Drosophila melanogaster: one gene and its partner. The protein of the gene in region 2 purifies or fractionates together with the protein of the main gene of each other region. This does not show direct contact. Each region holds a gene or a part of one and is shown on either strand. Other genes may lie near its edges.

The links.
Region 1: the proteins of Mccc1 (region 2) and Mccc2 purify together in Drosophila melanogaster (affinity purification with mass spectrometry, with the first as the bait; one large-scale study listed by BioGRID). This does not show direct contact.

What each region holds. Positions count from the first base shown.
Region 1 is NT_033778.4:6,744,357-6,749,569, reverse strand, and holds Mccc2 (Methylcrotonoyl-CoA carboxylase 2), read right to left. Parts: upstream 3,190-5,213; 5' UTR 3,086-3,189; coding exon 2,960-3,085; intron 2,901-2,959; coding exon 2,647-2,900; intron 2,328-2,646; coding exon 1,447-2,327; intron 1,392-1,446; coding exon 916-1,391; 3' UTR 616-915; downstream 1-615. Other genes in the region: phtf, read right to left, coding at 3,832-4,317, 4,376-4,732, 4,793-4,971, 5,031-5,213. UniProt on the Drosophila melanogaster protein: Carboxyltransferase subunit of the 3-methylcrotonyl-CoA carboxylase, an enzyme that catalyzes the conversion of 3-methylcrotonyl-CoA to 3-methylglutaconyl-CoA, a critical step for leucine and isovaleric acid catabolism. Vital for adult survival.
Region 2 is NT_033777.3:31,790,016-31,796,121, forward strand, and holds Mccc1 (Methylcrotonoyl-CoA carboxylase 1), read right to left. Parts: upstream 3,893-6,106; 5' UTR 3,604-3,892; coding exon 3,563-3,603; intron 3,456-3,562; coding exon 2,690-3,455; intron 2,636-2,689; coding exon 2,129-2,635; intron 2,070-2,128; coding exon 1,778-2,069; intron 1,723-1,777; coding exon 1,535-1,722; intron 1,471-1,534; coding exon 1,299-1,470; intron 1,242-1,298; coding exon 1,111-1,241; 3' UTR 577-1,110; downstream 1-576. Other genes in the region: Acf (ATP-dependent chromatin assembly factor large subunit), read left to right, coding at 4,353-4,474, 4,967-6,106.

The DNA of each region.
Region 1 (5,213 bases), on a different chromosome or scaffold from region 2:
TCTGCTGACGCTACTTCTAGGTTTGCGATTTCTTCTTTTCTTTTTTGCGAATAAGTTGAGGAGCCGCACACACACACACACATATATGTAAACGGAGAGAGACTCACTCACTGACTCACTCACACTGTGGATGCAGTGGACATTCAACCGGTCAATCGTGGGATCCTGTGATAAACTCACCTAATCAGTTGGTCGTTATCCTTCGGGGCGACGGAGAACTAAATGATTCCTGGCTTTAAACAAGGAAATGTTAATTCTATGAAAAACCGTCTTCTGCTAAACGAGCGAGCGCTAGGGATGTAAAATGTACACTGATGCATCGGCCGCCCAGCGCAGGTCCGCATGGAGGTCTATCGATAGGCGCTAGAGATGAACGATAGTCCGTGGTCCACTATATAGCGATATCGACTGTTATTTTTAAAAAATACAATTATAAATGTACGACAGCATGAAATTTAGCAATAAAACGTATTTATTTTCAGAAGAAAATATTTATATTGAACACCACTAAAAGTGTAACAGTGGTATGCACTAGATAGGCGGCTTTGTTTGATCCCAGCTGTGTCAATCTTACTGGTTTTACTCTTACAACCCTTAATACTAATAAAATAAATTGTTTTGTTATACATTATACATTTAAATGTGTGTGTTTTGTGTTTTCCGTATTTCTTAAATAGCTGTAACTTTTTGACATAAACATTTGTTCTATTGCACAGGAATTAAAATATTTTAGCAACTTAAAAGTTGTTTCGTAAGCTTTGAACGATTTCACACGCCTGTTCCTAATAAACAATCAGTTGTACATTACACAGTTAACAATTGCCTTAACGCTAATAAATGCAACAGTTTCGAAATAAAGGCATTAAATGCCTGTAAATGCGCTCCGATTAAATTTCTCCAGCATACAAATTGGATTTACATGCGGAAGACTCCAAACTTGGTCTCCTGACCGGCGTTGTTCAAGGCTGCTTTCAAGCTAAGGCCCAGGATCTGACGGGTGTTGGCCGGATCAATGATGCCGTCGTCCCACAGACGAGCCGTACTGTAGTAGGGCGAACCCTCCGCCTCAAACATTTCCACAATGGGAGCCTTCAGCTTTTGGGCTTCTTCCTCGCTGAACTCCTTGCCAGCTCGCTTGCGTTGATCTTCGGTGATCTGAGCCATAACATTGGCTGCCTGAGTTCCGCCCATCACTGAGATGCGCGAATTTGGCCACATGTATAGGAAACGAGGCGAATAGGCCCGACCGCACATGCCGTAATTGCCCGCACCGTAGGAACCGCCGATTATCACCGTGAACTTGGGCACATTAGCGCAGGCCACGGCCGTTACCATCTTAGCTCCGTTTTTGGCAATACCATTGGCCTCGGCATCGCGCCCCACCATGAAGCCTACATAGATCGATATCATTATTTAATCGCCCAGCCACTCCACATATCAACTTACCAGTAATATTTTGCAGGAAAACGAGCGGTATCTTGCGCTGTGCGCACAACTGAATGAAGTGGGCGCCTTTGAGTGCGCTCTCCGAGAAAAGGACTCCATTGTTTCCGACTATTCCCACTGTGTGGCCATATAGCTTCGCAAATCCGCACACCAAAGTCTCACCATATAGCTTCTTAAACTCCGTAAAGCGACTTCCGTCGACGATGCGCGCAATCACCTCGCGAACGTCAAAGCTTTTGGTAAGATTGGGACCTACGATGCCGTACAGCTCTTCCGCGTCGTAGCGCGGTTCTTCTACGGCAGACGGCGGAGTAGCAGTCTGGAAATTGACTTGACTGGAGTGCATCAGCTGATCGTTGTACGAATTAGTGGCGGACAAGTTTAAGTTGCTCACAATCTGGCGGGCCAGATACAAGGCGTGTTCGTCGTCTAAGGCATAGTGGTCGGTGACCCCAGAAGTCTTGCAGTGCAAGTCTGCTCCACCCAAATCTTCCGCAGACACTTCCTCTCCAGTGGCCGCCTTCACCAGCGGCGGCCCAGCAAGAAATATAGTTCCCTGCTTCTTAACAATGATGCTCTCATCGGCCATTGCCGGTACGTAAGCTCCTCCGGCCGTGCAGCTGCCCATAACTACAGCAATCTGAGGAATTCCCTGGGCCGACATGTTTGCCTGGTTGTAGAAGATGCGTCCGAAGTGCAGTTTGTCTGGAAAGACATCCGCCTGGCGCGGAAGGTTGGCGCCACCCGAGTCCACAAGGTAAATGCAGGGCAAGCGGTTTTCTTGGGCAATCTCCTGAGCGCGCAAATGCTTCTTAACGGTAATGGGATAGTAGCTTCCACCCTTCACAGTGGCATCGTTGGCCACCACCAAACACTCAGTTCTGTAATGAAAATTGCATATTATTTTTGATAATTTAAAAAATTTCGTACACAATTTATTTATTTTCCACCTTCACTATGAGACTCACAAAATATCTTGAATAGTTCCGGAGATCGTTACGTTTATACGAACAGACAGACTGGGGGCACGGCTAGATCGGATCGGCTATTTATGCCGATCTATAATTATAATCTAAATATAATCTACGACCTAATTAACCCTAATGACGCGTAACCTTGTCTTCTGCAGACTGAATGTGCTATGCAAGCGCTAAAAGTTCTGATGTGGAACTTCGATCAACTTGGATTTTTCAGACCTACCCGCAAACGCGTCCCACTCCGGTGACGATTCCCCCGGAGTTGACCACCTCTTCGCCATATAACTCGTGTCCGGCCAAAGCACTGAGTTCTAGGAAGGGCGATCCTTTATCCAGGAGCAGGTTGATGCGCTCCCTGGCTAAGAGTTTACCCCGCGATGTGTGTCGCTCGATGGCCTTTTGTCCGCCTCCCTTGAGCACCTGGCTGGTGAAGTTCCGCAGATCTCCAACCAAACTGGCCATCTCTCTGGCATTTTCCTAAAAAAGCTTGGACTTTAGCTGGTATGTAAACATAAATACAGCCTGTTTATATGCACCTTGTACTCGGCGGACTGCTTGTCTACCTCGCTATGCAAAACATTGGCATCTCCCACATGGAGCAGTCGCACCTGGCTGCGCAGCAGCACCGAGGAGCTCCTGAATAGCCAATTAAGCCGGATCATTTTGTGGGGGGTGGGATTTTAAGGGAGCTAAATGCGAAAATTACCACGCGAGTGGAGGCGAAAGTTACGTCAGTTGTGGGTGGCCGAACTGATAACGATAACAGCAACAGCTGGTCGATCGCTATTGAGCCAACTATCGATTAACGAAGAGCAGACGGGTGTTGCACAGAAAGAAAAAAGGATATAGTTTTCAACAAAGATTAAAGATTAACATCTAGATCAGATCTTTCTATCCAATGAAGAAAAAGGTAGAACCAATTTGTTGCTTTCACAGCTATAAACATCCAATTGGTATATACTAGTAAGATAGACAAAGCATATTATTTTAAACGAGATTTTTATTATAGTTTACTAACATTTATTAATTGCAACACTAGCTGAGACCGCCTTAGGAATTTAACTTGGGACTGTAACAGAATGAACAGCCAACTACAATAGGTGCACTGATTTTAGGCTTAAAGTTCTATGAACTTTCATGCGATTCATTGCATTGCACAATTTGCCTAAACATGATTTGTGATTGTGCAGGTCGCTCTAGAAGGTAAGTAGGTAAATACTAATTTCTGTTGGTTTACGTAGTCGTTAGTGGGCTTGTTAACGTAGCTAAACAATCACGTGACAAGCATAAACATTGGCTCGCTTAAATTTATTCACTTAACTAATTTAGAGTGTAGTGTTAGATTTCTCTTAAAGCGTTTCTAAAAAGTTGTACTACAAAAATATGATGGGTCTGCGCCTTGCATAGGTTACTTGATCTTGATTTTATGCAGCTTCAGTTTAAAGCCTAAAACTTCGCTAAGCACGCCCGATAGGGCCGACAGGATTACCACCTTGATGGTTGTGAATAGATATGGATTGGCACTAAGGCCAGAGAGCTTGAATGGCGTTTCGAGTTCCTTTAGCAGATCGGCGGCCAGCTTGAGCACGCTGTTCGACACCATCAGCTCGTCCTTTTTCTTTGGCTTCTGCTCGATCTGCAGATACAAGTTAATTTGCTCCGTAATCAGCACCGACACACTGCGGTACTTGTGCTGTATCTTCTGACCTAGGGTCATGAAGCGCAGCAGAAAGATACCGATTGTTATGGACCAGATTAGGGCCTCCAAGGTAAGGTGTGTGTGCAGATGAGCCGAATCCTTCAGCCACTCGACGCTGAGGAAGGCCAGCAACAGGAGGGTTACTATGAAGGCGGCGGAAACGATGATATCCACCGATCGCTGGGGTCCGCGTTTCTATGGGGAATGCAACTCAGTGCCTTTGATCAAGAAATACGCGGATGTTTATATTTACCTTCAAATACGACCTCACGCTCAGCCAGGTCTTGATGTTACGCACCTTGTTCAAACGGAAGTGGGGAAGATTTGACTTTCGAGCCCTACGTGATGAAGTTAGGTGGGAGAAGAGTTTGGCGTAAAGGAAGCGTTGCTTGAAGGTGCGCTCTGCAACGGCGAATATTATGAACAGTATGAGGGTCAGGCAAAGGCGTTGGACAAAGCCCAGAGCCAATACCATGCGCTCCCACTGGCTGTCGCCGAAGGCAAGGCCCAGCAGGGTGAAGAGCGATGCCGATGACTTCTCCCACAGCAGCTGCGGCATGTTAAAGTAGCTAATCTCACTGGCCTTCTCTGCATCGCTCCCGAGTGTGACCTGAGTGCATTTGACCAGTAATAAGTAGTCTCCTCCACCAAAACCTTCCCGGCAACATACCTCGCAGAGACGGCAGAAGATGGGAATCAATGTGAGCAGGAAAGAGAAGACCACGCCTATGTAGATGTAGTCGTTGGCCTCGCCCATTGAGTCCACGCGTTCGATTATGCAAGACGCGATCTCCAGCACGGAAAGCTGCGCCTTTTTGGCATCTCGCTGATCCCAAATGGTGCAGCTAACTTTATAAGTTCAATGTTATAGCGTGAACGAAGATGCAAATTTGGTTGGTAATACATACTACGGTCGAGGCTGCTATGTGGATTTAGTATAGTGGTAGGGGTGATGTCCAGCTCTCCAGGATCTTCGTCGCTAAAGGCCGTGTGCTTCAAGCCCCCGTCAGAGTGATCCAGATCAGAGGTGTAACTGCAGTCTTCGCTATTTGTCGTCACCCCCAGCCAGTCGGTGGCAGAAGTGGTGCACT
Region 2 (6,106 bases):
AAACAAATACACCAATTTTTTGTTTGGTTTTCTGTTTTGTTAAGCATTAAAAGGGATATGTTTATTTCTCCTCATTGTAAATGTGTCCCTTTTAATGTATAAATCTAAAAAAAAAAAATGAAAAGAACACCTTAAACTAACTCCCACAACACTACACAGAAACGGACGTAGGCAGAAAGAAACACACTCATAATCTATAAGAAGCGTTAAGTTGCACGTTTACAGTACCATATAATTGTATTTATATAGTATATAAATGATGTATTACGTATTGAAGCCGAGCAACACTTACTATACTAACCGAAAAAAATCAAAATGATGGACACTTAGATACGATACTAGGAAAAACTAATCGAAACGAATCGGCTGATTGTAAGAATTAGGGCAAGAAACCAAATTGCATCTTTAGTACTCAGTACTCGCCTCTGAAACTGTTTCCATAATCATATTTCAACGGCATGAACCGATTTAATGGGATGCTAATTAAAACAAAACAGTATAAACTCAAGAGCAGAATGGACTAAAGCAACACGAGCATAAAGAAAACTTGATTATGGTCATAAGTACATATATTTTAAATGATTAGTGTTTTGTATTAAGTGAAATTTGTTAAACATTTATTACATTTTTATGTTCTAAGTTGCGAAATAAATGCGAAGAGAAAGCAAAGCGCGCAATGTCATTCATGCCTTCTCTCAGTTTCCATTTCCGTTTCCGTTTACCGACAGCAATCAACTCAAAGTCTAACTTTTATGCCGCGAGATTTTGTACGGAACTCAATTTTAAATTATGTATTCACAAAGATGTATTACATTTGGGAAATTAATGTTCGTTACATCCATTAAATTCAGCGAAAATGAAACAAATAAATCACTTTTTAAAACCATTACTTTTGGCTTCCTTACTTACCCACAAAAACAATTCATGGCTAACAGTTTTAGACGTTTAATGGGTTAAAGATAAGAAAATTCCATTAGATGGACACTTTTTTACTTAACGATAATAAATGCACTTCGTGATCCCTGAACCAAAAGCAGGCTAGTTAATATTTAAAATATAATTTTGTTTGTAAATGCAACAACTCTCTGGTACGTTTCGAAACATATTCCGTTACTTTTCTACTTCCTCGTCGACGAATGTAATCACGGCCGCTCCCTTAGCAACGTTATCGCCCGCGGCTCCTCCAATAGACTTAATGGTGGCGTCCTTTGGAGCTTTTAGAATGTGTTCCATTTTCATGGCTAAAATGCAAAACTGTTTTTAAAACTATGTATAATCTAAATTTATATTTTTTTTACCAATAAGCACTGCCAAGTTTTCGCCCTTCTTGACCTTGTCACCGGGCTTTACCAGCACCTTCTCTAAAATCCCGGGCATGGGAGCCACTATGCGAGACCCAACTGCACCCAATTGATCGCCCTGGGCACTTAAGAATTTCGGCTGTCCCACCTCAAAATCGACCTTGCCACTCTGGAAAAGGGAATCAATTAAATACAAAATACAAAATGTTATCAATTGAAAAGTAGATTCTTACTTCCGAAAACAAAGAGACACTAGTGCCATCAATACTAGCATTATATGTGGTGACGTTGCTATTGATATTGGCACGAATTTTTAGACGACTTCCATCCTGAACTCTTTCGACCTTTGCATCCTGCCAGTCGCCATTATCCACCTGAATTTGCATATCCTCGCCATCAAACTTGACAGCCACAGAATAGACTGAAAGATTAAATAAGCTTACCAATTTGATTTTAAATTTATATATGTGGTTTACCCTTCTCATTGGCTTTCAAGTCATATCTGCGAACCAAAGAGTAATTCAGACGAGCGTTAGGGGTGGCAACAAATGGATCCTGATCTTTGTTTCCGTTCCTAAAGGCTGCCTGCAACTCGTTTAAGACTAGCGCCAAAGCAGCTTGGCTGACTTGCTGCGGACTGATGATAATTGGCGGAAATAGAGTATCGAACTGCTCATCGATAAAGCCAGTGTGCACATTGGCCAGCTGAAACTCAGGATGCGACGCAAGGTCGATGAGGAAATTAATGTTAGTGTCCAGACCAGATATCTAAAATTGGTTTACCTTTAGGGAAATGTCTTAAAGGTACAAATTTTTAATGTTCTCACATGATATTCACCCAGGCGGGCAACCAATGAGTTAAGCGCTTGTGTGCGGTTTTCGCCCCAAACGACTAGCTTGGCAATCATGGGGTCGTAGTGCACAGACACCTCATCTCCTTCTCGGACACCCGTCTCCACGCGAACGTTGTTTGATGGTTGGGGAGTAGACAAATATCGCAGGGGTCCGGCTCCGGGCAGAAAGCCTCCGCGAGGATTTTCTGCATAAATGCGAGCTTCAAATGCGTGGCCACGCCGCGTAATCTCAGATTGCTTCAGGGGTAATGGCTCACCGGCGGCAATGCGAATCTGCCATTCAACCAAATCGGTGCCCGTAATCATTTCCGTTATAGGATGCTCCACCTGCAGGCGGGTATTCATTTCCATGAAGTGGAAAGAGAGATCTTCTTTGTCTAGAATGAACTCCACGGTGCCAGCTCCTACGTAGCCCACAGCTTTCGCTGCACGAACAGCAGCCTCGCCCAGCTCACGACGCAAATCTTCCGACAAACCTGGCTGTTGTATAAATGAGCATTATTTTTAAAATAGCCGAAGCTCTTGTGCACTTACAGCTGGCGCCTCTTCAATAATCTTTTGATGACGTCTTTGCACGGAGCAATCTCTTTCCCACAGATAGACAGCATCACCATACTGATCCGCAAATACTTGAACCTCTACGTGGCGTGGAGATCGGACGTACCGCTCCAGAAGCACAGAGCTGTCGCCAAACGACTTCTCGGACTCGGTGCGAGCTGAGTTCAGAGCGGTGAGGAAGTCGTCCGGTTTTTCTGCGATTCTCATGCCTTTGCCTCCGCCGCCGCGGACGGCTTTAATCATCAAGGGAAAGCCAATTTTGTCGGCTTCTCGCTGCAAACACTCATCTGACTGATCATCGCCATGGTATCCATTGATGATCGGCACCCCAGCAGCGGCCATTATGGCCTTGCTGGTGCTCTTAATCCCCATGTCCCGGATGGCGGAACTGGGCGGACCCATGAAGATGATGCCCTCACGCTGGCACAACTCGGCAAACTCGACGGACTCGGAGAGGAAGCCGTAGCCTGGGTGGATGGCCTGGGCGCCCGAACGCTTGGCTATGTCCAGGATGCGTTCACCGCGAAGATAGGAAGCCGAGGAGGCAGCTTCCCCCACGCGGTACGACTCGTCTGCCAACTGCGTGTGCATGCTCTTCTCGTCCGGATCCGAGAACACGGCCACGGTACGAACTCCCAGCTTGCGTGCGGTTCGAATCACCCTGCATGCGATCTCACCACGATTTGAAATAAGGATCTTGCTGATAGGCCGAACTTTTGGGCTGGCTTCTGTTGCAAAGCACCTGCGTCAAGCCAAAACAAATTAGCAAGGTTTATGTAATCGTCAAGAACGAAATTAAGTCTTTTGATTTAGCGGCCTTAACAAAGAACTGCCGATCATTTCCCTCACCTGGCGTTTGCGCCGAAGTTTCGCAGCAGTCTGGCGTACATTATTAGTAGAATTAATTGTAAGAATAAATAACAAATATACTTTATTCAGAGCAAGTGTGCGATCGTCGCTTATCACAGCTGGAAAAACGCACACGCACAAGATCGCAATTGAGATGGGCGACTCACGAGATGCATGGTTGAAAATATTAATGTTTCATATATCTTTTGGGGATTATCATATATCATCAATATCTTTTAGGGAAATTGATATTACGTATATTGTGTTTTTTTTAAGTTGCAACCCATAAAAAATATTACCGTTATATTATTCTGGACTATTTATCGAACTGTTGACATCCATCCGACCGCGTCCTTACGGTTTTCTGCGCTCGTGAAGTTCGGTAACATTGTTCGCAGAAACTCGATAACCGATAGTTTAACGTCGAAGAGCGATAGGCCCCAAAATATGCGCGTGAAAATAGATTGTGCGCTATAAAATAAACGGATTTAGGTAGTTGGTGTTGAGGAAGCCAGCCACAAACATAGTAGAAATTGTCGGAAAAGTGTCGCCCGCCGACAGCTTGTATAATTGCGTCGGAAGTCAACGCGCGTATCGCTGGAAAACCGTTTGCATCGAAAGCCCCTCCGGAAAGGCGTGAAAAGTTGGGCGCCTTTTGCGCTTGTCGCTTGGCGTTGTAAAATTTATCAGTTGCTCCGCGGTTGTTTTTATTGTGAACTGTTAAACGTGCACTTCGAAGGACTGCCATTTAAACTTAAGGACATTCAAGAGCAAAAGGAAAACACCAAACATGCCCATTTGCAAGCGGGAAGGATTCGACCTGAATCAGAAGGAGGGCAAGAACGAAACATTCCACGACAACGACCAGGTCTTCTGCTGCTACATCACTAAGCGCATTTTTCGCGACTATGAGTAAGTGCATCCTGCTACCATTCCTGCAACTGCCCCTTCCCTTCTCCTGCCATTAGGTGGACGCTGCGCTAAAGTATACAACAAAAGCGACGCTGCAAAAGCATTTGCACACGATGTACCGTACATCACCATTCAGTGTGTGTGTGTGTGTGTTCGCAGGGGTGCATAAGTGTGCGAGTCTCGTGGGCCAAAGGCGAAAAAAACGCTGTTCGGTGGCGGGAAGAAATTACAGCTGCCGCCGCACAGCTGCTCGCCGCGGAGTTGCCACCTGGTGCCAAAGCGCGCGCTCTTGAATTTGGAATTTGTTGACCCAATTCGACTTATATGATCCTTCTAGATATTTTTAAGATCAGCAATTATTTAAGAGGCTGGGTAGCGCGAAACTATTTTAATAAATAGCAAACATACTAAATATGTTTTACTCTGACAAGCTTCAATTATATCAAAATAAATTGACCTTAAAACGCTGATCGATTAAATTTATTTATCCAGACACTACTTCCGGCACGTGATGGTGATCAACTCAACGGTGTGGCAGTGCGAGGCCACCGGCAAGGAGAACCTCACCTACGAGGAGGCGGTCAAAAGTGAGCGGGCGGCTCGCAAGAAGATGGAGCAGTTCAAACAGAGCCTTCGGGCACCCGTCCTTCTGGTTGTGGAGCACGCCCAACAGTCGGCGGTCAACACCTTGAACATGATAGTGGCCAAGTTTCTGCGCAAGCGCTACTTTATCGGCGAGGAGGTGTCGGTGCAAGCTAAGAAGAACGCCACGTACACGGTGTTGGGTGTCAAGTTGGACAAAAATATGCCGGAACCACTCAATGGTATCTATGAGGACACGGACAACCTGGTCTACAGACTACGACCAAACAAGGGCGATCCCAGTGCAGAGCTTGATCTGCCCTTTAGGCAATTACGTCGCTCGCGCATGGAGTTTAACCTGGAAAACCTGAGTATGTTTATAAAGAGCAATGTATCGCGGGTGGATGGACTTCTTCGACCCAAGCCAGAGGCATACAAGCAGTACGTGACGGACCCTGGCGTAAACTTCTCCACAATTTTCATTGGCAAAATGCCACGTTATTCTCCCGCTAAGATTAAAAAACCTGACGGCAAGAAGCAATCCACTCTCAACAAATATATTGTCGCCGGTGAAGCAACGGCTGCAAAGTCAAAGGCGAAGGCCAAGTCTGATGCTAAATCTCTGGCAGAGGAATTGGAGCGGGTTAAGCGAGAAAAAGAGGCCAAGCTTATTGAGTTGGAAAAACAAAAGGCGGAAAAGAAGGCACAGTTGATTGAACGCGTTGAAAACGAATGTAATTTACTGCTTCAAAAGACGGACGACCTGGAGAGAACCGACCAAAAAGTCCTGCCCCGCTACAGACAGATCGTCACATTGCTGCCTGAGCACCTCCTGGGTGATGCCTTCATGATGCGCGAGTTTATGCACACTTACACAGGATTGCTGTCCGGCATCGAGGTGTTCCGTCAGAACCTCAGTTTCTACGAGATGACACGTGCACTGACTGCTCGTGAGATTGCGGGCCCACTATCGGACATCCTCCTCGTTCTGCTTGGCACTGTTTTCGATCTGCAAAAAGAAGAGGAGGAGGAATGCGCAGTGACCTACCT